7 linked regions of the Macaca mulatta genome follow. The protein of the gene in region 2 interacts with the protein of the main gene of each other region in a pairwise test. Links are inferred from orthologs where the notes say so. Each region holds a gene or a part of one and is shown on either strand. Other genes may lie near its edges.

Evidence for each region.
Region 1: the proteins of SGTA (region 2) and TMUB2 interact in binary tests that used the Homo sapiens proteins (3 or more experiments, as listed by UniProt). The two-hybrid records come from large-scale screens. The link is inferred for Macaca mulatta from reciprocal best matches to the Homo sapiens genes SGTA and TMUB2.
Region 3: the proteins of SGTA (region 2) and PBXIP1 interact in binary tests that used the Homo sapiens proteins (3 or more experiments, as listed by UniProt). The two-hybrid records come from large-scale screens. The link is inferred for Macaca mulatta from reciprocal best matches to the Homo sapiens genes SGTA and PBXIP1.
Region 4: the proteins of SGTA (region 2) and FXYD7 interact in binary tests that used the Homo sapiens proteins (3 or more experiments, as listed by UniProt). The two-hybrid records come from large-scale screens. The link is inferred for Macaca mulatta from reciprocal best matches to the Homo sapiens genes SGTA and FXYD7.
Region 5: the proteins of SGTA (region 2) and TMEM174 interact in binary tests that used the Homo sapiens proteins (3 or more experiments, as listed by UniProt). The two-hybrid records come from large-scale screens. The link is inferred for Macaca mulatta from reciprocal best matches to the Homo sapiens genes SGTA and TMEM174.
Region 6: the proteins of SGTA (region 2) and FERD3L interact in binary tests that used the Homo sapiens proteins (3 or more experiments, as listed by UniProt). The two-hybrid records come from large-scale screens. The link is inferred for Macaca mulatta from reciprocal best matches to the Homo sapiens genes SGTA and FERD3L.
Region 7: the proteins of SGTA (region 2) and CSF1 interact in binary tests that used the Homo sapiens proteins (3 or more experiments, as listed by UniProt). The two-hybrid records come from large-scale screens. The link is inferred for Macaca mulatta from reciprocal best matches to the Homo sapiens genes SGTA and CSF1.

Annotation. Positions count from the first base shown.
Region 1 is NC_133421.1:68,558,580-68,562,670, reverse strand, and holds the start of TMUB2 (transmembrane and ubiquitin-like domain-containing protein 2), read right to left. Parts: upstream 2,801-4,091; 5' UTR 2,415-2,800; coding exon 2,380-2,414; exon of another isoform or gene 2,215-2,379; coding exon of another isoform or gene 2,113-2,214; exon of another isoform or gene 1,101-2,112; coding exon 534-1,100; exon of another isoform or gene 189-533; intron 1-188.
Region 2 is NC_133424.1:3,534,765-3,538,264, forward strand, and holds part of SGTA (small glutamine-rich tetratricopeptide repeat-containing protein alpha), read right to left. Parts: intron 2,433-3,500; coding exon 2,333-2,432; intron 886-2,332; coding exon 781-885; intron 1-780. UniProt on the Homo sapiens protein: Co-chaperone that binds misfolded and hydrophobic patches-containing client proteins in the cytosol. Mediates their targeting to the endoplasmic reticulum but also regulates their sorting to the proteasome when targeting fails.
Region 3 is NC_133406.1:112,054,648-112,058,147, forward strand, and holds part of PBXIP1 (pre-B-cell leukemia transcription factor-interacting protein 1), read left to right. Parts: intron 1-972; coding exon 973-1,206; coding exon of another isoform or gene 1,207-1,237; intron 1,238-1,333; coding exon 1,334-1,357; intron 1,358-1,626; coding exon 1,627-1,709; intron 1,710-1,802; coding exon 1,803-1,934; intron 1,935-2,570; coding exon 2,571-3,500. UniProt on the Homo sapiens protein: Regulator of pre-B-cell leukemia transcription factors (BPXs) function. Inhibits the binding of PBX1-HOX complex to DNA and blocks the transcriptional activity of E2A-PBX1.
Region 4 is NC_133424.1:46,411,551-46,415,559, reverse strand, and holds the start of FXYD7 (FXYD domain-containing ion transport regulator 7), read right to left. Parts: upstream 2,801-4,009; 5' UTR 2,721-2,800; coding exon 2,690-2,720; intron 1-2,689. Other genes in the region: FXYD1 (phospholemman), read right to left, coding at 3,315-3,337, 3,523-3,572. UniProt on the Homo sapiens protein: Associates with and regulates the activity of the sodium/potassium-transporting ATPase (NKA) which catalyzes the hydrolysis of ATP coupled with the exchange of Na(+) and K(+) ions across the plasma membrane.
Region 5 is NC_133411.1:79,529,641-79,533,454, reverse strand, and holds the end of TMEM174 (transmembrane protein 174), read right to left. Parts: intron 2,181-3,814; exon of another isoform or gene 2,049-2,180; 5' UTR 2,027-2,048; coding exon 1,401-2,026; intron 1,211-1,400; coding exon 1,105-1,210; 3' UTR 501-1,104; downstream 1-500. UniProt on the Homo sapiens protein: Regulator of plasma phosphate homeostasis. Decreases serum inorganic phosphate (Pi) uptake by regulating the sodium-phosphate cotransporter SLC34A1 trafficking by PTH and FGF23 in the kidney.
Region 6 is NC_133408.1:109,145,727-109,148,201, reverse strand, and holds FERD3L (fer3-like protein), read right to left. Parts: upstream 1,135-2,475; 5' UTR 1,082-1,134; coding exon 581-1,081; 3' UTR 501-580; downstream 1-500. UniProt on the Homo sapiens protein: Transcription factor that binds to the E-box and functions as inhibitor of transcription. DNA binding requires dimerization with an E protein. Inhibits transcription activation by ASCL1/MASH1 by sequestering E proteins.
Region 7 is NC_133406.1:130,284,104-130,287,603, forward strand, and holds part of CSF1 (macrophage colony-stimulating factor 1), read right to left. Parts: intron 3,023-3,500; coding exon 2,900-3,022; intron 1,658-2,899; coding exon 1,595-1,657; intron 1-1,594. UniProt on the Homo sapiens protein: Cytokine that plays an essential role in the regulation of survival, proliferation and differentiation of hematopoietic precursor cells, especially mononuclear phagocytes, such as macrophages and monocytes.

The sequences.
Region 1 (4,091 bases), on a different chromosome or scaffold from region 2:
CCTTGTGATCTGCCCAAAGTGCTGGGATTACAGGCGTGAGCCACCGTGCCCAGCCTCCCTCATCTTTATCCTTAACTAATGAAGAGTGTATTTGTTTTGTTTTGTTTTTTTGAGACTGAGTCTCACTCTGTCACCCAGGCTGGTGTGCAATGGCGCAATCTCAGCTCACTACAACCTCTGCCTCCCAGGTTCAAGCAATTCTCCTGCCTTAGCCTCCTGAGTAGCTGGGATTACAGGTGTGTGCCACCACACCCAGCTAATTTTTTTACTATTAGTAGAGATGGGGTTTCACCATATTGGTCAGGCTGGTCTCAAACTCCTGACCTTGTGATGCACCCACCTTGGCCTCCCAAAGTGCTGGGAGCCACCGCGCCCGGCCTGAGGGGTGTATTTCTAAGAAAGTATCTACGTGCCCTTAGTAGGGGCTGGATCTTATACTTCCCTGCAGCTCCTACGTCTGCACCAGCCTCCTTAGAGGCAACCAAGGGCTGGGGGATGAGCACAAGCAGCTTCCCACTTCCCAGGCCACTCACCTCTTCAGGGCACCCACGGTATCCTCTGGCCTAGCCACAGCCAGCTCCTCGGTATCATTGAGGAATTTGAGCCGTACAGTGATGAGGCCAGGGCTGGGAGGGAGGCAGGTGCTATCCTCAGATCTCAGGGGGGCCTCTGGACTGCTGCTGTCTGCACCTGCTTGTCTTTTGGGCAGGCCTTGGATGTCAAGGAGATGCTCAAGGCTGGGTTCAATACCACCCCCAGCTCCAGCTTCCCCTGTGGAGTCTCCCCGACCTTCACCAGCCTCTTCAGCCTTCTCATCATTACCCTCTGATGGATGGGGGAGTTCAGTTGGCTCGGGGTTGCCTTGGCCTGCCACCAGGTGGTCCACATGCCCCAGGTGGAGGACGGATGTGTCACCTGCTGACACAATGGCGCCCAGGAGCTGGTTGCTACCGCTGTCTGCTACGTAGGTAGAGAGCCAAGCTAGGACCAAGGCTAGAATCAGCACCACCACACCTGTCACCACCATCACCTCATTACCCACACCCTCAATGAGGGTGACATCAGAGAGCTCCATGGCCTGGCTGCCGGCAGGGTCCACGCTGCAGGAACAAAGGGGGACAGCATCAGCAGAGCCTGAGGGGTTGCAACCAGGTCTCTAGTTTGTTTAGGTTCTAACTGACCCAGCCCTGAAAAACAAAAGGAGTTCAGTGTTCTGTAGAAGGGGGCACAAACCTTCCTAATTCTGGCACCCCAACGTAAAGCTAAAGACCTATCGTACCCTTTGCCTCTATTGTGAAACTCTTGCTTTCAGGTTCTGTGACCTTCCTCTCTCACACTCCAACTTCCCAATGAGCGTGGATCAGCAGGAAAAGCCCACAGCCTTGCTGCTGCTGCTGCTACTGTTGTTGCTTTTTTGGCGAATGAGGAAAAACCTTTGCTGAGGCCTGAGTTTCTCTAGGATTCCTATCACTTGGTCAAGCAAATATGTCTCCTAAGCAGCCTCCAAAGTGGCTTCAGAGAGACCCAAAAGTCTGGAATATTTTACTGCGGGGCCCGCTTAGAGGCACTGTTTAGCCATCCCTGCCGGATTGTCTCATTTCAGCCTATTTCATTCCTGGTCACAGATCCAGGCTGCCAGATGTCAAGAGTCAAAGAAAACTGACCTACCATCAAAAGCAGAGTCAGACAACCTCAAACGGGCAACTCTGTAGGGGTCACGAGCAGACACTATGCAGCAGACATTATATGCCACCTCTGAAACTTCTGGCAAGCCCTGGGGAGCAACATGGGACAGACACCAGAAGCACCACCCTCCTGGGTCACCATGGGCCCACTCCTGCAATGACCACTCCCCACGTGGAAGTGATTTGAAAAAGATTCCATAACAACTCTCACAATCCATATCTCAGTCTCTCTTCTTTCACTGTGAAGGTTCTGCTGCTGCAGTTTCTTAGAAAGGCAGGAAGGGTCCCTGCTTGATCCCTGGAGTACCTACTATGTCCTTTGGAGAATCTGCTGCTTTCACAGCTGTCCCTGGGCAAATCCAGTCTGGTGATTATCATTATCAGACTATTCTCACAGCACCTATAAAACTTCATTATACTTATCTACCTCTCCATCTCTCTATTAGACTCCTGGTAGACAAGGATCGTATGTATTTCTCTTGGTACTGAAGTGTCCAATATAATGCCCCAGTAGTTGCTCAAAGAATATCTGTGGAACACATCAACATCCTTTTTAATATACTGGCCCTGGAGTTAGAAAAACAACAACTAATTATAACCCCAGTCTCGCGTCTTACTAGCTATATCACCTCAGACAACTTTCTCAGAGCCTCAGCTTTCTCATCAGTAAAATGGGGTTAAAAACAGTACCTACCTCATGAGGTTGTTTTGAAGATGACGTGAAATCATCGAAGCAAAATACTTAGCACAGTGCCTGGCACAGTGCAAACTGCAATTGCTCAATAAATGGTAGCAATTATTTATCACACCCACAACTAATCCCTGATGGCAAGAAGGTTAATGTCATTAACCATGATTTACAGAAAAAGAAACTGCGGCGAAGAAAGACGAAAACGGCTGGCACAGACACAGGGAACTCTCGTGGGGAGGGGTCCAGCAGGACCCCAGGTGACCGGCCTCAGAGGTCTTTACTCTGTCCCTCAGCCTGTGATCTACCCTGTCCGTACCGTGACCGCACGGTGAGGAGGGGTCCCGCACCCTTTTTCTGAGGCGCAGGTTTCGCGTTTGGATGGTCCTATTCCCGCGGCGTTGGACTGGGGTCCATGGGCCCACCTGAACCGAAGGGCTGCCTGGCCCTGGCCTCCGTGATAAGCCCAGCTCTCCCGGCCCGTGAGGGGTAGGGTCGGCTAAGGGGGTCACAAACCGTCCACACCCCTCAAACTTCGGGGCGGGGCTGGGGAACTGGGGGCGGGGCTTGAGGACGCGGGGAGTCATGGGAAATTAAAGGGGGATTTGACCAGCACTGTGCCTGGATGGGGAAGTCCTCACCTGAAAAGGCCAGACTAAATGTTTTGACCTCGCCAGGACGGCCCCTGGACTCGTCTTTCCGTAGGGGTCGGGAAAAGGGCTGGCAATCTGCGATTCTGTTCAGGGTCCGGTCTCTTCCGGCTTCTCCCGGAAGCTGTTATGCCAGGGACAGGAAGTCCCGCCTCCGCGCCTTGCACTGATGACGCAAAGCTACGTAAGGCGGGCTGACGTAAAAGGTATTCTTTAAATAAAAGGGACAGGTTTCTCAGCGGAAGGAGGGGCGGAGTCATTGTTGGCGGGATTGCGGTCCTCCCAGAGCGGGGCCACGCCTGGTGGGCGGGGACTTAGACAATCCGTGTGAGACGCTGGGCCAGGGGGAGGAGTTAGCGGGGAGGTACTTGGGGAAAGGGGTGTGGCTTCGCGTCTGTGTAAGGTTGCCCGGGCTGGCGCCGCTGGGCAGAGCCGGTGCGACGTTTCCCTTTCCAGCCTTGTTCTTCGGTCCTTGCTGTCTGCCTCCCGGGCTGATTGGATTTGTTACTGCTTTGCAGCGCGCACCGAACTACAGGTTAGCGGGATTAGTAAGAACTCAGCTCTGGGCCATTCGGGAAGACAGATAAGGAGACGAGTTAGTCAACATCCAGTGCTTGAAGAGTGCAGCCCCAGGTAGCGTGGGACCCCGAGAAAGAAGGCGGGAAAGCATTTCAAAGAAGGCACAGATTCAGCGCAGGCTTAGGGCACAAAAAAGGGGAAAAGTCCAGCTTTCAAGAACTTATTCGGATTTTTGCAATTAAAATTTTTTCTTTTTTCTTTTTTGAGACGGAGTTCCGCTCTTGTTGCCCAGGCTGGAGTGCGATGGCGCGATCTCGGCTCACTGCAACCACCGCCCCCCGGGTTCAAGCGATTAGTACTGCCTCAGCCTGCCGAGTAGCTGGGGTTATACGCATGGGCCACCACGCCCTGCTAATTTTGTATTTTTAGTAGAGACAGGGTTTCTTCCTGTTGGTCAGGCTGGTCTCGAACTCCGTACCTCAGGTGATCCGCCCCCGTCTTGGCCTCCCAAAGTGCTGGGACAGGCGTGAGCCACCGCGCTCGGCCGCA
Region 2 (3,500 bases):
CTGGCGTCCCCATGGGGCCGCACACGAGGCCTCAAAGCCCAGAGCGGGCTGAGAGGAGGGAGCGGGCCGGCTCAGGGTCACAGGAAACGCGTGGATGTGGTCTTGGCCCCGCTTTCTGGCACAGGGCATCGAGGACCCTGGGAACTCAGTGACAGACGTGTCTCCTGTCGTCCACAAGCAGCCCCTGACTCCCACCTGAGTCTTCACTACTGAGATGACTTGGGGCCCCTAGAGAGCCCAGAAGGAGGCAGGTCCTGGGGAGACTGGGCAGGTGAACAGGATCCTCCCCAGCCTCCGGGGAGACCCAGTCCCACGAACTTTAAGCAAGGGCGTTCACAGAAGCAGGCGAATGAACTGCTTCTCATGCTGGGAGGGTGGCACCAGCGGCACGGGGCACAGGCTCCTGCCCCGGGGACCCTCCTGGCCTCGCCCTCAGACCCCTCCTGTGTCCTTCATCATAAACCAGGTGCTTCCCTGAGCTCTGTGAGCCGCCCCAGCAAACAATGGAGCCCGAGTAGGGGCCACGGGAACCCCAGTGGACAGCCAGTCGGGAGAAGCAAGGGGCCCGGGGATCTCCGAGTGGCACGTGATGCAGGGCGTCTGTGGGGCTGAGCCTGCGACCTGTAGGGGCTACGTTGGCTCCGAACGGCTAGTGTCAGAGCTGAACTGAACTGTGGGGGGAGAATCGGTTGTGGGTGGGGGAAAAAGCCACACAAGAGAGGAAGCAGGAGCAGGAGAGGAGGAGCCCCGAGAGACTGGAAACATGCGACAGGCACTCACCCCATCCTGCCGTAGGCCTTGCTGTAGGCGGGGTCGATGCAGATGGCCCGCTCACAGTCCTGCACCGCGCCTGCATAGTTGCCGAGTTTGCTGTAGGCAGCAGCTCTGGGGAAGAAAGGCAGGGCAGGTCCCTCACTGGCGGCTCTGAGCCCAGCAGGCAGCCCTGGAGGGGAGCCTGAGAGCTGCGTTCCTCTTCCGCTTCCTGGAGGAACGGCCTCAGGTTCCCCCTCTGTAAAATAGGGCTGACGGCGAAAGCTGAGAGGTGCAGCCACTGAGATGCTCTTAGACAGATGCGCGCTCAAGGCACCAACAGCCACTTGGGACTGCGACTCTGAATTTTATTTGCAAAAACTGTTCCAATCCATGGCTGCACAAGAGCAATGAGTGTGGGAACTTACACCCAAGTTTCGTTGACAAATTATTTACGTATCAGTAAAAAAAGAACTCAGACCAATGTCAAAGCTCAAAGCTCTTGGCTTACAGCATCTGAATCGTCTTCACCATTTTCGTGTTTAGTGTTTCTCTTTACGACTTTTTCAAAGTACGGAGAAGCGTAAGTGGAGAATAAACTACCCCGTGACAAGCGGCCAGGGACCCTGCACTCCCTCTGCAACTGTTCTGCAAGCCTGAAGCAGATCCCAGACCACACGTTCAAAAAAACCTCAACCCTCCACATACCGGATTATTTTCTTGGCTTGACATCCACGTGGAACGCCGTGACACCTGATTTTGTATGTATGTGTGTATGTACGTACGTATGTATGTATGTATGTACGTATGTATTTATTTTTGAAACAGGGTTTTGCTCTGCTGCCCAGGCTGGAGTGCAGTGACACGATCTCAGCTCACTGCAAGCTCCGCTTCCCGGGTTCAAGTGATTCTCCTGCCTCAGTCTCCCAGTTAGCTGGGATTACAGGCGTGCGCCACCACGTCCAGCTAATTTTTTTTTTTCGGGTTTTTTTGGAGACAGAGTCTCCAGGGTGGGGTGCAGTGGCGCAATCTTGGCTCACTGCAACCTCTGCCTCCTAGGTTCAAGTCATTCTCATACCTCAGCCTCTCAAGTAGCTGGGATTACAGGTGTACACCACCACGCCCGGCTAATTTTGTATTTTTAGTAAAGACATGGTTTCACCATGTTGGACAGGCTGGTCTCAAACTCTCGATCTCAAGTAATCCACCCGCCTCGGCCTCCCAAAGTGCTGGGATTACAGGCGTGAGCCACTGTGCCCGGCCCCCAGACTAGTTTTTACGTTTTCTGTGGAGACAGGGGTCTTGATATGTTGCCCAGGCTGGTCCCCAACTCCCAGCCTCAAGTGATCTTCCCCCCGTGGCCTCCCAGAGTGCTGGGCGAGCCACCTGATCTTAACGTCAGCGTCGACTCTCCCTGACCCCCTTGCTGGCCGCCTGATGCTTGCTCTGGGTCTGGGACCGCCGGTGAACGGATCCCTTATCTAGAGCGCAGAGGCCTCTCCCATCTCAGGCCCCTGCCAAGCATCCCGGAGGGCGCCCCGCACACGGCCGCCCCCGCCCTGGGCAGGCCCCGAGCTGGCACCTGTTGCAGAAATAGACGGCGTTGGCTGGGTTGAGCTCGATGGCTTTTCCGTAGAAATGCACGGCAGCTTCGAAGTTCTCCACTTTCATCTGCTCGTTTCCTACAGGGAGAGGGGGAAACACTGGCCCGGGCGTCCAGACAGACCCGCGGGGGCTCTCGGCCTCACACCGGGTTCTTCGGGGCACCTAGGGCTCAACACAGCCGTGGGCAGGAGGCGTCTGCATCTGTGGGGGGTTCACTAATCACAAACGGTCATCTCTACACCCACTAAGGGGGATGGAGGTGGGGCCGGCAGGGCCTGGCCTGGCGATGGATGGTGGCTCTCGCTGCCTGGATGGTGACCCCTGGGAACAGAACTGTTAATACAGCCCATCGGCCCAGGGATCGAAACTGTCCCTTTTGCCATTTCTTTTGGAAAGAGCCCAAGCGGAGGCCTGAATTTTAGAAAACTCCTGATACCTTCTAATTTCATAGCAATGTGGCTTCTATCTAAGGCATGGGTCCCAGCTGGCAGGACAGTAAAAAGCCCGGCTGCTATCCTAGAACCAACTGAGAGCTCTGAAGACAGAAACCCGCTCCCACCCCCGAGATCCCAATTCAGGAGGGTGTTGGGGGAAGACTGGTACCAGCGTGTTTCCTTAAACAGTTTTACTGAGATATAATTTACAGGCCACAAAGCTTATGCTTTAAAAATATAAGGCCAGGCGCGGTGGCTCGTGCCTATACTCCCAGCACTTTGGGAGGCCGAGGCAGGTGGATCGCGAGATCAGGAGATCGAGACCATCCTGGCCAACACGGTGAAACCCGTCTCTACTAAAAATAGAAAAATTAGCCAGGCGTGGTGGCGCGCGTCTGTAGTCCCAGCTACTCGGGAGGCTGAGGCAGGAGAATCACTTGAACCAGAGAGTCAGAGGTTGCGGTGAGCCAAGATTGCACCACTGCACTCCAGCCTGGGCAACAGAGAGACACTCGGTCTCAAAAAGAAAGAAAGAAAGAAATGGGATCACACGCTGTGTGTCCTTTTGTGTCTGGCGTCTCTCCCTGAGCGTGATGTCCTCATGGTGCATCTGCACTGGGGCCTGGGTCAGAGCCTCACCCATCCACATTCCACTGTGTGGACGGGCCACACTGCACTGACTATTTATTGTGGACAAGCATTTAAGCTGTT
Region 3 (3,500 bases), on a different chromosome or scaffold from region 2:
AAAAAAAAAAAATTAGCCGGGCGTAAAGATGCATGCCTATAGTCCCAGCTACTCGGAAGGCTGAGGTGGGAGGATCACTTGAGCCCGGGAGGCAGAGGTTACGGTGAGTTGTGATCGCGCCACTGCACTCCAATCTGGGCGACAGAGCCAGACCCTGTCTCAAAAAATAAAAATAAATAAAAATTTAAAAATATTAAAAAAAAAAAAGAAAGAAGATGCAGATCTGAACTAACGCAGGTACAGTGTGGGTTGTGAACAGGGGTGGACTGTCAAGATGTTTCAGTGTAGAACTGTGAAATTGGATGTGAGGTGGAAAGGGAGGGCTTAGGTTAGCTAGGTGGTGGCAGCGGTGCCTTCCCCTGAATTGGGAAAACACTAGCAAAGAACCAGTTTGCAGGGCAGCGTGTTGAATGTTTGGTCCCAGAGGGAGTGGCCAGTAGGCAGTCAGACATACAGGCTTGGAGCTCTGGGATGTCAAGTCAGGAGTTACACACTAAGGACTCATTGCTGAAGCGGGGTGTCAGTGGTGGTGAGAGAGTTGTGACTATGTGTACAGTGAGAAGAGCAGAGAACCTGAAATGGTGCTAGGGAGACCACCGACTTTAGGATCAGGGAAGAGCCAGGGAGGGAGAATGGGAAGGAGTGGCCAGAGAGTTTGGAGGGGACCCAGGAGGATGGTAATAGCTGCAGAGGTTTGATGCACGGCACACATTGAGGAAAGAGGATACTTTCAGGATGAAAATGGCTTTTATAGCTTGTAGATTGACAGCACTGGTCTCCTGCCTCCAGACTGGGCAGGGGCAGTCATCAGTGCCTAGGCAGAAGTGGGCAAGTGGGCAGGGTCTTCATGTGCCCCTCTCTGGGGTCAGGGCTGAGGACCTCCCTCCCTGTGCCTTCCTCTGCTTCCCCCTCTCCCTGTGTCTTCCCGTCTCTCCAGTCACCTCACTGCCCTGTCCCTGTTCTTTCCCCTAGCTTGGATCAGAGAGGAGGGCCGCTGCTCCAGCAGTGAGGATGACACCGACGTGGACGTGGAGGGTCTGCGGAGACGGCGGGGCCGGGAGGCCGGCGCACCTCAGCCCGTGGCGCCCCTGGCTGTGGAGACCCAGGCCGGGGGGGAGGGTGCAGGCGGGGAGCTGGGCATCTCCCTCAACATGTGCCTCCTCGGGGCCCTGGTTCTGCTGGGCCTGGGGGTCCTCCTCTTCTCGGGTGAGTGGTACCTCTGAGGCTGGGGCTTTGGGCTTCCGCACCTGCCTGCCCTCCTGCCATGTTCTCACCTTATTTCACCTCACCCCTCCCTGAGGGCCTCATCAGACTCCTCTGTCTCTATCCTTAGGTGGCCTCTCAGAGTCTGAGACTGGTGAGTAGGGAGGGGCCTGGCCTGTGCTGGGAGGTTTTGTGTGTTCTTTGGTTCTCTGGGTCAGGAGTAGGGGTGATGGGGGCTCACATTTATTTCTCAGTTAGTGGCCTTGTCAGCTGTTCAGGGTGCCCCTTGGCTCTTTACCTCACCAGACCTCTCAGCCACAGGATGGGTCCTGAACAGGAGTGGTGACTGTGTGAATGGGAGGGTGTGGGGAGAATGGGCTCTGTGTGCCTCAGGACCAGTTTCAGGACTTCCCTTTCCCACAGGGCCCATGGAGGAAGTGGAGCTGCAGGTCCTCCCGGACACTGGGTCAGACCCTGAGCTGCTGGATGCTGTGGGGGACAGGCAGGTATGTGTGACTATCTCCAGAGGCAGGTGGGGCCTGGCTGGGGAGAACCTGGGCTGTGGGGTAGCATGGCATAACAGGCTCTTCTGCCCTCAGGATGGGCTAAGGGAACAGCTGCAGTCCTCAGTGCCTCCTGACCATGTCCCCAGCCTGCAGAACATGGGTCTTCTGCTGGACAAGCTGGCCAAGGAGAACCAGGACATCCGGCTACTGCAGGCCCAGCTGCAGGTGGGCATAGGCAGGAGGGGCTGGGCTAGGGTAACCCACCTAGGCCAGGTGTCTGTCCTAGCATTCTCCCCCAAAAGGAATGTTTCCTATTTACCCACACATCCTGACCCTCCCCTCTCCCACTATAGTCAGGGCATTTTCCCAGTTCTGGGTTCACATCCCTTGTGCTAAGGTTTGGTCCAGGGCTGGCATACCTGTTCCACATGGTACGTGAAACATACATGGTATCACCTGTGATTGACTGGTGTAGTCTGCCTGGAGCACTGTGTGGAAAAGGATTTAAAGAACATGCCAAGTGCCATGATCAGTTAACACTGTTCCAGGTATAGGAAGTGGAAACAAAACCGTGAGAGCCACACATTGGCTATCCTTAGGTGAATCTAGGAAGTGTGTGCTTATATAAAGACATATATACATATATATGTGCCGAGACCCAAGATGGAATTTGGGGATCCCTGTGTCTCATTCATGATGGAGATGGGGTAGAGGATGAAAACCAAATCCTCTGGGTGTTCCAGGCCATAAAAGGGGCTCAGGCTACTGCCCGCTATAATGGAATGGAATTGGGGTAGAAAGCATTGGGGCTATCCTGACAAGAACTCTTTGTGACTTCCTTCATCCCAAACCATATTCCAGGCCCAGAAGGAAGAGCTTCAGAGCCTGATGCACCAGCCCAAAGGGCTAGAGGAGGAGAACGCCCAGCTCCGGGGCGCTCTGCAGCAGGGCGAAGCCTTCCAGCGGGCTCTGGAGTCAGAGCTGCAGCAGCTGCGGGCCCGGCTCCAGGGGCTGGAGGCCGACTGTGTCCGGGGCATGGATGGAGTGTGCCTCAGTGGGGGTAGAGGCCCACAGGGTGACAAGGCCATCAAGGAGCAAGGCCCCAGGGAGCAGGAGCCAGAACTCAGCTTCCTGAAGCAGAAGGAACAGCTGGAGGCTGAGGCACAGGCATTAAGGCAAGAGTTGGAGAGGCAGCGACGGCTGCTGGGGTCTGTACAGCAGGACCTGGAGAGGAGCTTGAAGGATGCCGGCCATGGGGACCCAGCTCACGCTGGCTTGGCTGAGCTGGGTCACAGATTGGCCCAGAAACTGCAGAGCCTGGAGAACTGGGGCCAGGACCCTGGGGTCTCTGCCAATGCCTCAGAGGCCTGGCACCAGAAGCCCCACTTCCAGAATTCCAGGGAGTGGAGTGGAAAGGAAAAGTGGTGGGATGGGCAGAGGGACCGGAAAGCTGAGCACTGGAACCATAAGAAGGAAGAATCTGGCCGGGAACGGAAGAAGAATAGGGGAGGTCAGGAGGACAGGGAGCTGGCAGAAAGGTGGAAGGAGGGCAGGCCAAGGGTGGAGTGGGGGAGCAAGAAGGAGGGCAAGCGACAGGGCCTGAAGGAACCCCCAAGGAAAAGTGGTAGCTTCCACTCCTCTGGAGAAAAGCAGAAGCAACCTCGGTGGAGGGAAGGGGCTAAGGACAGCCATGACCCCCTGCCATCCTGGGCAGAGCTGTTGAGGCCCAAGTACCGGGCACCCCAGGGCTGCTCAGGTGTGGCTGAGTGTGCCCGGCAGGAGGGCCTGACT
Region 4 (4,009 bases), about 43 Mb from region 2:
CATGGTGGCCCACGCCTGTAATCCTAAGCACTTTGGGAGGCCAAGGCAGGTGAATTGCTTGAGCCCAGGAGTTTGAGACCAGCCTGGGAAACATGGCAAAACCTGTCTCTACAAAAAATACAAAAATTAGCTGGGTGTAGCGGGGAGTGCCTTGTAGTCCCAGCTACTCGGGAGGTTGATGTGGGAGGATAGATTGAGCCCAGGACTTTGAGGCTGCAGTGAGCTGTGATCGCAGCATTGCACTCCAGCCTGGGTGACAGAGCGAGACCCTGTCTCAAAAAATAAAAGTAAAAAAGCTAATCATTTGAAGGAAAAAAATTAAATAAATAGCAGTGTGAGGAGTATTTGAATAAAGTGAAAATTGTGACGGTAATACTCAAAAGCACCAAGATGGTGAAACACTGCCTCAGGGTCCCTTGTGCTCTGTGTAAGTTTCCCCACCAGAGAGTGAGTAAATTTGTTTGACTCATCGCTGCTGTTCATCCTGACATTTATGAAAGGCTCTCCAAGTTTTCTCGGATGAATGAATGAAGGAATGATTATGAGGCGGTCCTAGGCTGCAGGAGGCTGCAAAAGGTGGATTGTCTCACTAGTCTTTTCCACACACCTGCCCTTCCCCAAAGTTATCAGGAGCCCACTGGGTGAGCACCTGTCCCAGAATCTGGTGTTCCATGCAGGAGATCCTCCTCTGGTCCCTGCTGCCCCAGCAACCTGGGCCCCCAGGCGTGGCTGGGCTAAGGGTGGGGCCAGGAGTCAGGCAAAGGAATGTGCACTACTCCTGGACAGCTGCCAAGGAGATATCAGGAAGGAGGTGGTTGCTATGGTAACTGGGGCATCTCGTGAGGTGAAGAGAGGTGATAGGTCCCGGCATCCCAGGCTGGGTGGGGTCCCTTGTGAGGTCCTGTGTAAGATGCGGGTTTCAATCTTGACCCTCTCCCCTCCTTTTGCACCTCCTGCTGTTGCCCCTGCAGGACTGGCTTCTGGCCAAGCTGAGGGTCCATTTCAGGGACAGGGACCCGGACCCAGCTGTGCTCATGCATCCCTCTTCTGTTCACCCCTAATTCTCCCGCCCGTTCTCTGGCAGGGCGGAGGGAGACAATCTCCCTTCTTCCCCCCTCGCTCCCCAACAATTCATTAATTAGTTTCCTTAAGCAGTTTGCAATGCACAACATGCTTTTCCTCCCCCGGGATTTCCCGAGACCCGCGGTCCCCTCTCATGCTGTGACTGGGAAAGGGGGAGGCAGAGGAGGTGGGGTTGAGGAGTCTGTCCTCCCACCTCTGCCCGTCTGCTGCCATCGATCCTGTTAACCACCACCTCTGCAAAAAGAAGCCCTGGGCTCCCGCCAGGCCTGCTGCCTCAGCCCTGCCCCCTCTCCCCAGGGTGGCTTCCAGCCTCTGCAGCCCCCCCCACCCCCCGCCCTGCTTCGGATTCTGCAGATATGGCTCAGTGCAGCAGCCCCCGCCTTCTGGGAAGCACGGAAGGGAGGGAGTCATCCAAGCAGAATTGGGGTTCCCTTCACGGCCAGGGGCTTCTCAACACCCCTGGTCCATCCCCTGCCCTCAGTGCTGGAGACCCTAGCTGGGCACCCGCTCCCTCTTGAAGCAGTCTGTGCCTTGCTCCTCTGCAGAAGCAGGCTTAGCAATGGGGGCTATTAGGGGGCAACGGTGGAAGTGGGTGTTCAACTGGGTGCATAACTGGGTTAATGGGTGTGGAATGGAAATCAGTGTGCGGCTGGATGGGGGCAGTAGGGGCAGTTAGGTGCATACCCAGGTACACCTCTGGGACTGGAAAACACCCCTGCTGTGGGCTGGGAAGGAGGGTCCCATCACCCCATTCCCACCCATGGGGGTTCACTGCAGTGGTTTGGGCCCCACCCCACACTGCTTCCTTCTCTTTCTATTCCCCTCTTTCCCCATGGGTCCGTCTCTCTCCCTCCGTCTCTCTGCTTCTCTCTCCATAGCAGTCTCATTCCCGCTATCTCCCAGGCTCTCATTTTCTCTCTCTCTCTCTGCATCTCTGTCTACCGTTCTTTGCCACTCGCCTCCACTGGGAATCTCTCTGAGTCCATCTATTTGTCTTCCTGGGTCTTTGTATCTGTGACTCTGGATCTCCTGCCTCTCGGTCTCTGTCTCTTCCAGGTTCTCCCTGTCCATCTCTTGCTATATCCCTTCTCGCTGTCTCTTCCTTCAGCTCTCACTCCTTTCCTCTGAACCTGGCTGTCAAGGGTTTCAGGAAACACACACCCTAGGAGACAGCACTGGAAAGAAGAGGGACATGAACCTCCTCCCCTTCCCTTGCCCACCCCAGGGACCCTGAAATCTTCCAGAACGTCTCTGGCCGCAGACCCACCCGCTCCCACCCTGCAAGCTCATCTCTTCCCGTCTGCTACCACCACGGTGCGGGACCAGCCACCCGGTTGCCATAGCGACCTGTCCGAGCATCCCTTCTCCCGGGACTGCCACTCTCCAACCGCAGGTCTGGCACAGGACACCCGCCGGGGAGGGGGTGTCCCAGAGACCCGGAGGGGCGATCGGGGGGCTGCATTACAGGGGCCTCCGCCCACAGAAGGAGCAGACCTCCCTCCCCCCACTCCCCTGCCTTACCATTGCTGGAATCTCCCGACACCCTCTCTCCTAGGCTCTCAGATCCCGGAGCCCCCCTGCAACCCCCTCCCCAGACGACGCTCACCCTTTGTGGGGGTCTGGGTCGGGGTCGCCATGCTGGGCCGGAGCAGGGGGCTGCTGGATGCTTTGGCGGCGAAGGCGCGCTGCAGCAGCTGGAAGCAGGACGGACCGATATGGGGGGGAGCTGGGGGGAGCCCTGGCGTGGGGGGGCCTGCAGCCAATGGGGGCCCGGGGAGCCCGCCCCCGTGCAGGCCACCCCCGCCCCCGCCCCCGCCCACCACCGTCGTCCCCGCCCCTTCCTCTAGGGTGGGGCGCCCCCTGCTGGGGCCCAGGGGCGCTGGGCTTTCGCGCTGAGGGACCGAGACCGACAAAGTGCTGTCGAGAGGAACGCACGTTTTATTGGAAGTCTGGGCGGCAGGGGGAGTCTGCCGGGGCAGGGCTGGGGAAGGGGCGGCGGAGGGGGCGGTGGGCGCGCAGGTGGAGCGTGGGAGACGTCAGGTGCCAGGGGAGTCCTGTGGGGTGAAAAGGGTGAGTGAAAGGCGAGGGGGGAAGTCCAGCACCACCCCTCGCCGCCCTCCAACCCTGGCACTTGGCCCCTTCCCTCTCCCGCCTTTCCTTCCTCCCTCCTTCCCTTCCACCGCCGTGTCAGAGCTGCAGCACCTGGCCGGATTCCATCGCGCCAGGTGTTTCTACCGCCTGCGGGTGGACAGACCTGGGGGGAACACGGAGATCGGGGGTCATCAGGAGGGGCATCCCCAGCTCCTGGGCAGGCGGGGCAACTCCCCGCCCTCTGCTTTCAGATCCAGCCCCTCCCTCTACGCAGCCGGGGAGGGCCAGGAAAAGGGGTCCTTGGAACCAGCCCTCTCCCCAAAATACCCGCAGTCTCCCCAGACTCACGGCGGATGGAGCTGCGGAAAGTTCCCTCCTCTTCATCGGGTTCCCCAGTCCTGGGAAGACAGAGGCAGAGGGACTTCGGGATGGAAAGGGGGAGAGGCTGCCCTTCTAGGAACCCCCAGTACAAGCCTCCTTTCCCAGACTGGTGTAACGAGGCCCAGATATGGACGAAGAACAGGCTCGGGGTCCGCCAGAAATAAGAAGCACCCAGGAGCAGCTTAAGTGCTTTGCAGGGGGCTTCCAAGCCGGTTAACAGTGAGTACCTCCGCGGATTTGGGGGCAGGGATGTGAAGTTGGTAAGGGAGGGATAGTCAAGGGGACTTGGCAGACTGTCATGAGATGGCCTGGGTTGGAAACCCAGAACCCCCCATCTTCCACTTGAGTGATCTTGAACAAAGTGACTTTACCTCCCTGTGTCTCAGTTTCTTTATCTGTAAAATGGGCTTAATAACAGCACCTCCCTCCCAGAGGAAGTGAAACCGTATCTGAC
Region 5 (3,814 bases), on a different chromosome or scaffold from region 2:
TTACCTTGAGTGGCATTGCCTTTGAAGCCTAAAGCAAATATTTTCTTTTAAAACCTAATGGTTTTAAACTGTCTCTTCTGAAGTCTGTGAGTCAGTTCCAGTTGTTTATTACACAGCCAAATTCAGAGAGATTAAGGACACCAAAGATTTTAATGAAGAAGATGAGTTTCTTTTAGTCATAAAGATTGTTTCTATCATATCATTCCCCATGTGTTGACATGGCAACTCTGCTCTGTCTTGCTCCACAGACCTACGGGTACTTAGGAAAGTCCTGTGTTCTGTCAGCCGCTGGGCCCAGTTAATTCATGCCTGGTGCAGGCCCCAGCCCGGGGTGGACCAAGAGCCCACCCAGGTACATCACAAGTCAAGCTTCAACCTTGCAGAAGAGAATAGCAGCAGCCAGGGGTCACTGTGACTCAGTGATCAGGGAAGGATTTATACACAGTGTTATCCTATTACGGTCTATTTTGTGTAATTTAGCCAGGTATCCAATACTATTCTAGCAGGAGACATGCTTTATGTTATTTCATTGGTTTGATGTTTTTGTTTTGTTTTGTTTTATAGCCTTTAAGGTACCCAGAGTCCTCAGAGAGGCCAGATGGCAGCTGAGTTGTTTGGGATTAGTGAGTCTGCTTTGGGGCCAAGGACAGCCACCGGGAAGTCTCCAGCTGGGCCTGCTTTCTCTTCCCTGCTTCCTTCCCACCAACTCTCACCTCTGTGGAAACTCCCAAAGTCTCAGAAGTCATGATTTTTTCATTGGCTGCTGGGGTTAAAATTGAGCCACCAATGCCTTCCTACAGGGAAGGGGGAAGGTGGGGGATGAAAAAGTGAAATTCCTGCTCCTGAGCCTTACACAGGAGATTTCTTACCCGAGGGAATCTGAAACTGTTCCAGAGGAAAATTGCCTCGGGCCAGTCTAATTTTTACCAGTCTGAGACATTGCTCCCACTTCCCCTTTCCCCCTTTGAATGATCTCTGTCAGGCTGCCTGGGCACTGCTGTTGCTTCTGAAGGTCGCAACATAGAACACCACGGTTGTCAGGTAACAATGACGGAAACGCTTGCTCCCTGAGCTGAGCATTGTATTATTATATCAGAATAGTCTCTAGCGAGGGAGAGAGTATATTTCTTCGTAAGGTGGAGGAGAGAAGCAGGCACAGGCCTCCTCTTCCAGCTGTGTCTCTTCTACCTGGTCAGCATCAGGACTGGGCCTGAAATGTGAGCAGAAAACACAGGTACATTATGGTCCAAAGCACCATTCACAGAACCAAGGCTGCCATCGTGGGCAACAGGCTAAGCAGAGATTCGCAGTCTCCCAACACCTTATTCATGGACCAAACAGCCACAGATCACGATGGAGATGGCTAGAAGGAGTGCATTCCCCCAGTAGACACGCCATACCTGTGGTTTCCACCATCCGCGAAAGAAGGGCAGCCTTCATCAACCACAAATGCAGAGTTATCTTGAGGGTAGATGGTGTAGTATTGAGGAGGACTCGGCACGGCAGTTGCTGCCCCTCCAGGGGTTATGAGGCCACAGGGGCTCACCACAGACTGCAGGTAGCTGGTATTTATCCCCATAGGCTCTGGAGAACCATAAGGAGGAGGGATGTACTGCACCACAGTGGCCCCATGGAAGGTGATGGGTTGGTTGATGCCAGTGAAAACAAATGATGGTCCTCCTGGTGTCTGTTCCAAGTCCGGGACCCTTTCCTCACTTTCTTTGCACAACTGGCAGGAGAGCATTTTGAACTTGCACACAGATATCAGGATGAATGTCACCCCAACCGACAGTAGGACAGGCCCAAGGAGCTGGGTCCATTCAAAGTGGGAGACACCTTGGTATTTGATCCAGCCCATGACAGTGAATGTGATCCCCACCAGCCCCAGAAAGATGCCTGAGAAGAGCAAGGTGGCCCCAGCCTTGTCGTCATCGGACACCTGGATGTCAGCGGTGCTGGGTGTGTAAGGAGTGACGGAAAACACATTGACAGGGAAGTCCTCCAAGCGGCCGCTGCCTTGCTCCATTGCTCCTTGTGGCCTCACCCAGCTTCTTAGAGTGGAGAGGATTGTGAGAGCCAAGGAATCACAGGTCCAAATTAGTTATAGAAGAACTCAGGGCTTGTGCTTAACAGGGTGTAACACACAGAGGGCTGGACCTTGTTTAGAAGAATAAAGGTCTGAGAAATGAAGCCTGAAGTTTTCTCATGTATTGTCAACAAGTGGAGGTCTCTGTTTTGCAAGTCAATGACAAGCTGTCTCTCTAATTCACATTCATTCATTCACACATTCAAAAATTAACTTATTGAGTCCATCTTTCTTTTTCTTTTCTTTTCTTTTCTTTTTTTTTTTTTTTTTTTCTTAGAGCGTGGGTCTCACTCTGTCACCCAGCTGGAATGTAGTGGCACAATCATAGCTCACTGCAGCCTCAACCTCCTGGGTCAAGCGATCCTCCCACTTCATCCTCTCCAGTAGCCAGGACTACAGGCACACATCACAATGCTCAGCTAATTTTTAAAATTTTTTGTAGAGATAGGGTCTCATTATGTTGACCAGGCTGGTCTCAAACTCTTGGACTCAAGTGATCTTCCTGCCTTGGCCCCAGGAGGTACTCTTCTGTAGCAATTTAAGATGCTGCCATAAGACCCTGTTTTTGTCCTCCCCAACACAGATTTGTAGAAATGGCAGAGCTCCCTCAAGGGTCTCCAGCAGTGAACAGGGCCCTTGATATATCCACACATGCACAGGAGTCTAACCTGATTTTCCCAGTGGTTCAGCTCATTAGGAATAGACAGACACCTATTTCTTGACCGCATGTGTATTCCTATCTACTTCACGAACCCCTAGCTGTGATGATACTTAAACTTCAATAATAGTTCTCACAAAGCCCTAAGATCCTGTTCTTTTCTGGCCAACCCCATACGCCTTTTGCTTTCTGCATTTGGGGAGTAATTCTAGCCTTGGGAGAGGAACAACATCGTAGGAAACCTTTCTATGCACTGCATCACTGCCAGGGGTTGAATAAGCATCAGGTATGACCTGGCTCACTGGGACACATGCTTCGGACCCTCCCTCCATGGTGGCCACACAGTTCCTGGTCTCCAAGGTGAAACAACCAGCTGTGTTTTGGAGCCTGCTGTTTTCCAACCAAACACAAGTTGATGTAGAGAAGACAGTTTAATTTTCAATAACATTATCTCATTCATGACTGCAAAACTTCCAAACAGCCCCATGAGTTTCCTCCTCCACCGAATAATAACTGTAGCCTTCTTTCCTTCCTAGACAGATTTTATCCAAGCAGATGCTCTCTGCAGTAGTTAAATATTATATTAGTTCCCTTTTGCAGAATTGAGAGAGCTGCCATCTTGCCCCAAGGCAGAGCTCCCTAAACTTCCCTTGACAAAGAAATCATGTGGGCCACTTTTTTAAAGGACAAAATGTGAGCTCCCAATTCAGATCAACAGAATCAAATATCCAAGGGAAGGACCTCAGGTGATTTATCATTAAGAAATCTTAGGAAACCCTACCTCAGGTTAACCCTAAATGCTTCTAGGAGACCAGAGGACTTTCTCCCCATGAAAATCCCTCTCCCTGCTACAGGACAAGGCTTGTAATCTCCTACTTCACTGCCAAACAGATGGGAAAGCAAGCAGGTGACCCCTGAGGTATCTTACTGGATGTGCCTTAGAGCAGCAAGGCTGGAGTGGGGTTGCTATACGAACAGGCTGCCTTTTCCCACTGAGCTAGATCAGAGATCCAGGAAAGCCAGATTTTCTCTTTAACTATAAATTTCTGGTAAGTTAGCCTGACATTATT
Region 6 (2,475 bases), on a different chromosome or scaffold from region 2:
TCCCTCAGTTCCTGGACAAGCATCGGAGGACCAGACAGAACCCTCTGGCTACCAGCAAAGCTCGCATCCCCGCACCCTCGCGGCGTCTGCTCCAGAGCCTCCTCGCAGGCGCCTGCTGGAGCGCCTGCTGGGGATGGCGCACCACCGACTCTTGAGGCTTTTTAAAAAGTAAGAATTTCTACTTTATTATCTCTATGAAAAAAAAAAAAAGTAAAGAGGAGAGGTTAGATTCTATAGAAGCTCCCAAGTTTGCCATTTGCGAGGAGGGTTCTCTTCCCACCCACCTAGCCCACGGAAGCTCTTAGGAGCAGCCTGGACGGCCCGGACTCATCCTCTCGCGCTCTGACATCCCCGCGCGCCCCTGACCCCGACTTCACTTAGGGCGGTCGCATAGATATGAACTCTACAACAGCCACTCTGCTCGGGGACTTTAGGGATCTTACAATCTCGAAACCGACCTCCAGAAGGCCAGACGTTCTGTCTTGGGGCGTCCCTCCTGGCCCTTTAGCCTCACCCAGTACCCGGTCCTGACACACCCCAGCACTACCAGACCAGGAAGGGCAGACTCTCCCCACCCGGTTCAGCCGCTTTCCTTCTTCTCACAGCTCTCCAAGAGCTCGGTCATGAAGGAGATGTAGACGATGGCCAGGCGGAGGGTCTCGATCCGGGACAGCCTTTTCTCGTAAGCAAACGTGGGCACCTTCCTCCGCAGCTGGTCAAAGGCCTCGTTGAGGTTGAACATTCGCTTCCTTTCGCGGATGTTGGCGGCCTGGCGCTGGGCGTAGGTGATCACCCTTTTCCTCTTGGGGCGGCCTAATAGGGAGACGCCTCTCCCGCGCTCCTCTTCCTCCTCCTCTTCTCCGTCCCCCTGGTCCACTTCGCACTCCTCTTCTTCTGGGTCCCCCTCTTCAAACCGCGCCATCCTCCTGGGTCTTCCTTCTCGGAGCGCAAGGGCTGGATCCCCAAAGGAGACCCCGGGTGCGAAGTCGCAGAGGAGAGGGCGTCCCGGGGAGGCCAGGGACAGGTCTGCGACGAAGTCCAGCACCGTAGCGTCCACGCAGCTCTCTGGATAGGCCGCCATCGCTTCGGCTTGGCCCTGCCTCTCATCGGTTTTCCGCAGGGAGGGGCGAGGCTGCTGGTGGAGATTCTTAACAGCCTTGAATCTGATGGGGCACCATCACCGAAGGGCCAGGGAACATTAAATATTTATAACCGAGCTGATAACAGGATTAGTCGCACCGATAAGAAATGCTCTGACAACGTCCCTTCTCTCGAAGCTTATGGAAGATGACAAGCTTGAGCACGCATGGAAGACTCAAAGGGACAGGCCTCCAGTTCTGAGATCCTTTTCTGTGCGCCACCCGGGACAGTTCCTTGTTGGCAACAACCCCCAGCTCTTACCTGCTGTGCTTTTTGTGTCTGTCTTCACCCCTGCAGCCAACTAATGTTCTCCGGGCTCCTTATCTCGTGTAGTTCTTTAATTTCGTGTTGGATTTTCAAAGCGAGGATGTTTTCCACGGCGATGGCTTCTCCTTGACTTCAGGATAGGAGTCTTGAATCTTGCCACCATCTGCCAATGGATGTGGAGCAAGTGCATGTGCTTTTAATGATGTCCTGAAGAGGGGCCCTGCCTGCCTGGGATCGAGGGGAGCTGTTTGTCTGGTATCCCAGTGCAGCGGCTGCTGAAAGGCAAGACCTTCCATTAGCTTAAGTAAGCATGGCAGGGGGGCCGAGAGTGCATTCCCCAGAGTCGCTGTTGGAACCGGCTTTCTTTTTCTTTCCAGGGCATCGCAAACAGCTCTCCTGCCACGTTACAAACCCTTGCTTCTAAAGTCTGTTTGGATGCAATCAGCCTAACAATTGAGATACTTGACTTTCCTTTCCCTACCTTTACCTCCTGCTCATATAAAATAGAGGATTTTATTCCAAGAGGAAACGTGATGACGGCAATAAAATGACAAATTTAAGCTCAGGACATTTTCTATGCTCGGGCTTTGCTGTATACCTTTCAGTGTGGGGGACAAAGCAAACTCTCCCCACAAACAAAACCACTTCAAGCTCTTTTCAGAAATGCGATTTGCCCTTGATAAGCCAAAGAGTCAATCAGTTCACCCTCTGCTGAGGAGTCTTCGGACTTTTAAATTGCGGATCGAGTATTTGTTCCTGAACAAAGAAAAAAACCTAACACTTCCATCTGGCTTATTTTCCTCATTGATTTGTATTGTCCTACAGTAAGATTTAAGAGCAGAAACAATGACTTATTGAATTATATTTAAAGGAGCTTTTTGATTATCGTTAGATCGTTGAGATAAGAAAGAGATTTTAAATTTGGCATAATAAAAATAAGAGTTTACTCATTTTATATTTTCTCTAGTATCCCTAATATTTTAACAAAAGGGTCCTTTTTCTTTGTTTGTCAATAACTATATTTACTTAATTATTCAGTAATGTGTAAAGATTTATTTAAAAGACCCA
Region 7 (3,500 bases), on a different chromosome or scaffold from region 2:
AAAACAGGAACCTGAGGCTTATAGCCTGGCCATTGTGGCCTGGGAACCCCCAACCCCAGGCAGATGGAGGGTTGCAGCTTGCTCTCCCCCTTCCCCCAGGGGAGGGACCACACCATGCCAGCAACGAGGAGAAAGCTGCCCTCAGCTTGCCTGTCTTTCTCTCTCTTTGGGATCTAGCACTATTGGAGACTGGGTTAGAGTGAAGGAAATGTGGATTCTGATTAGAGAGTTCTCTGGGTTTCTGGAATATGAGGTTTTAATCAGGATGGATGTACATAGGGAAGGTGGGCTCCAGGGAACCTCCCCCTGCCTTTCTTTCTGTCTTCCTCTTGGCTTCCTTTCACAAAAATCTTTTACCATATGGCCCCTTCAAATCCTCCAGGATATAGGGGGGGTGAAGACTATCTCATGGTACAAAGGATAACCTCTGTGTTTTGTCTCCCTAAAGAGATGGTAGTTGCCTTGAAGACCCACTCTGCTTTAGCTCCCTACCCCCAGCATCTAGTCCAGTAGGTTCCTAGCAAATGCTAGTTCAGGCATGAATGCTAGAGCAAGCGAGTGAGTGAGGCTATAAAATACTGAGGCTATTCTTTGGACCATGAGGTGGTCTCCAGTACTAACAGAGGTGCATATGGGTCTGGTGTGTGGAAGCTCAGAGACAGGGGCAACTTCTGGATACCATGGCAGTTTTGCATGAGGCATAAAGATGAACAGATGTGGAATAGTGACTGGGGGAGCAGGTGGAAAGGCATGACAGTCATTGGGAAGAGCTTGTGCAAAGATGGGAGGCAGGAAGGAGCAGGGAATGGAGAGGCGGTGTACAGGTTTATGTGGTGGAGAATGGCTAGACCTGGTGTAACCCAGGCTAGACAACCTTGGCTTTCTTCTGGAGTGATGGGGCCCCTGATGGTTTTGGGAGAGTGAGGTAAAGGCAGCAGGTTGGCGTTTCAGAAAATTCCCCCTAGTGGTAAGATGAAGAGTGAACTAAAAGCAGGGAGACCAGTTAGGAGGCTCCTGAAATTGTCCAAGCAACTGATTGAGGGGTGAAGGTAGGGATGGAGGAGACAGAACCCAGAGATGCTGAGAGGCAGAACCAGCAGCACTTGGTGGCTTGCTGGGTGTGGGGCAAGTCCAGGAAGGGCTGGACTGCCTCCCTGCCTGCTGGTTGGCCTAGTGAAAAGAAGTGACATCCTTAAGCGAAGCATGTGACCTGGAAGAAGTATTGATTTGCCTCAAGCCCTACAACCAACCTTCCTGGATTCAAATCAGGCCTCTACCACCTACTAGCTATGCTCCTTTCACCTCTCTGTGGATAATAAACAGTATTTGTGTACCACATAGTGGTACTGTCAGAACTAAATTAGCAAAGTGCTTGGTACCTAGTGAGCGTTTGTTATGTATCAAGCCAGGAGAAGGGAATGGCAGGGGACTTGAGCCCTGGATACTGGCACCCCAGAGTTGAGCACCCGTGGATCCTCACACTCTCAACCTTTCCAGCTGTAGGCATTCTGCTGCCTTCATGTTCCCACACACACCCCACCCTGGGAGTTGCATGCAGACTGGTACATGGATTTTGTAAACAGCTATCACTCACCAACTGTTCCTGGTCTACAAACTCAAAGGTAATTTGGCACGAGGTCTCCATCTGACTGTCAATCTGTAAGAGAGAGCAGGCCAATGATTGCAGGGCAACCTACAGCTCAACTCAGCCTTCTTCAGAACGGGGACCTTAACTTCTGAATACATTGGGGTTTGAACTTCATCCCTGCCAACCACATGTGGAAAGACAGTCAAGTCTAGGAGAAGATCAGTGCCTTCCATATGCCCAGGGGAAGGCTGTAGAAGAACAAGTCTTTTCCTTCCATCTGCCACCCCAGGAAATCTGACAAATGCCCATTTGTTTTAAGAAAGAAATGTCTATAGGAGAATATAGGATATAATCTTCCCTGGGAGGTAGTGAGCACCCTGTCATGGCAGGAATTCAAGCAGAGGCTGGACAAGCTCTGGGGACTGAACATCTGTAGGCGTTGGAGCTGGATGCCCTTAAAGCCCTCTTTAGCCCCAGAGCAGCAGTTCTGGGTTTTAAGCCTCAGAGAATGCTGGGGCTCTTGGTCTACCTTGGATTGCTACAGCAACTACATGCAGGAGAAGTAGCGCTAGGGCAAGAGAGGTGGAAGGCATAGCCCACAGGCCCCAAGCTCAGGGCCCTGGAGCTGGCCTTAGCCAGTGAGGCCCCACCCTGCCTAGCTGGCCAGAGGGATGGTAAATTCCCAGTGAGCAGGACGGCAGCCATGACAGCAACCTGATTCTGCCTGGGTGGACCACGTATGGGCCTGATTAGAATGAGATACGGGCTCCTTCATGGCCTAGACGAGCAGGCCATCCCAGCCTCAGGGTATGGGCAAGAGCCAGGGAAGTGAGGGTGGAAGGCTGGGAGTTAAGTGAGCACTTCCCCTCCAAATCTGGGTGGGGCTCTGATGCCAGACTGGCGCCACACATGAGAGTCCAGGAGCTAGACGCAACATCTGGACACAGCAGGCTGCCTGGGCTAGCTTCCCAGAGGAGGCATCCCACTGAGGGACAGCAGACCTCAGAAGCCTTTTCAGAATTAGTGGTTGATATTCCTGGGCAATCACTAACCCAGGCAAGCAGCTGGAAGCCCACCCCATCCACTGCCTGCAGGGGAGTCAGAGAGGGCTTCAGAGCTGGGGAGACCAGAGGTCCTAACTTTGGGAAGGCTAGTGAAGGACATCACTGGTGGAGCTAGTGGGAACCACAAGCAATGTCCTGCACTGCCCTATTTTCCTGCCTGCAACTGCTCTCTTTGACCTGCTCCCTGGCTCCTGCCTCCATTTCCCCAGTGGAGAGAAGGTAGAATACAGCATGGCCACGCACTCACCAGCCGCTGCAGAGACTGCAGGTGTCCACTCCCAATCATGTGGCTACAGTACTCCGACACCTCCTCGGTGATACTCCTGCTCGCCAGGAGACAGACCAACAACAGCAGGGAGCCCAGCCATGTCTGTGACAGAGAGGGTGTCATTTCTCCCCAGCCCTCACTCTCCCCAGTTATCCCCATGCCCTGCTCACAGCAGAAAAACAAAGGCCTCAAACCTACAATGCTACAGGCTCTGCCCCTTACCTCAGGATACAGCATCCCTCAAATCCAGCTTTCCCAGGATTTCTAGCAGCCACAGCACAACCTTGTTCTACCATGAAAACAACCCAAATGTCACCTACAAGAAGCCTTCCCAGATTAAGCCAAACCTAACTACACATTGAACTAATAGTGACACAGATGGTGTGCCTACCAGTCTAAATTTTAATGACACAGGAAACTCGAGGGCAGGACTTGCATCTACCCATTTTTTCTGTCTCTGTAACATCAACACTGAGCCAAGCACTTTTTGAACTGCCCTCAAGTTCACGTTCATGCACCGGCTTTCAGATGGCAAGCCAGAGACACCTCCCCTGGGCCCAGCACTTCCTCCCACCTGGTT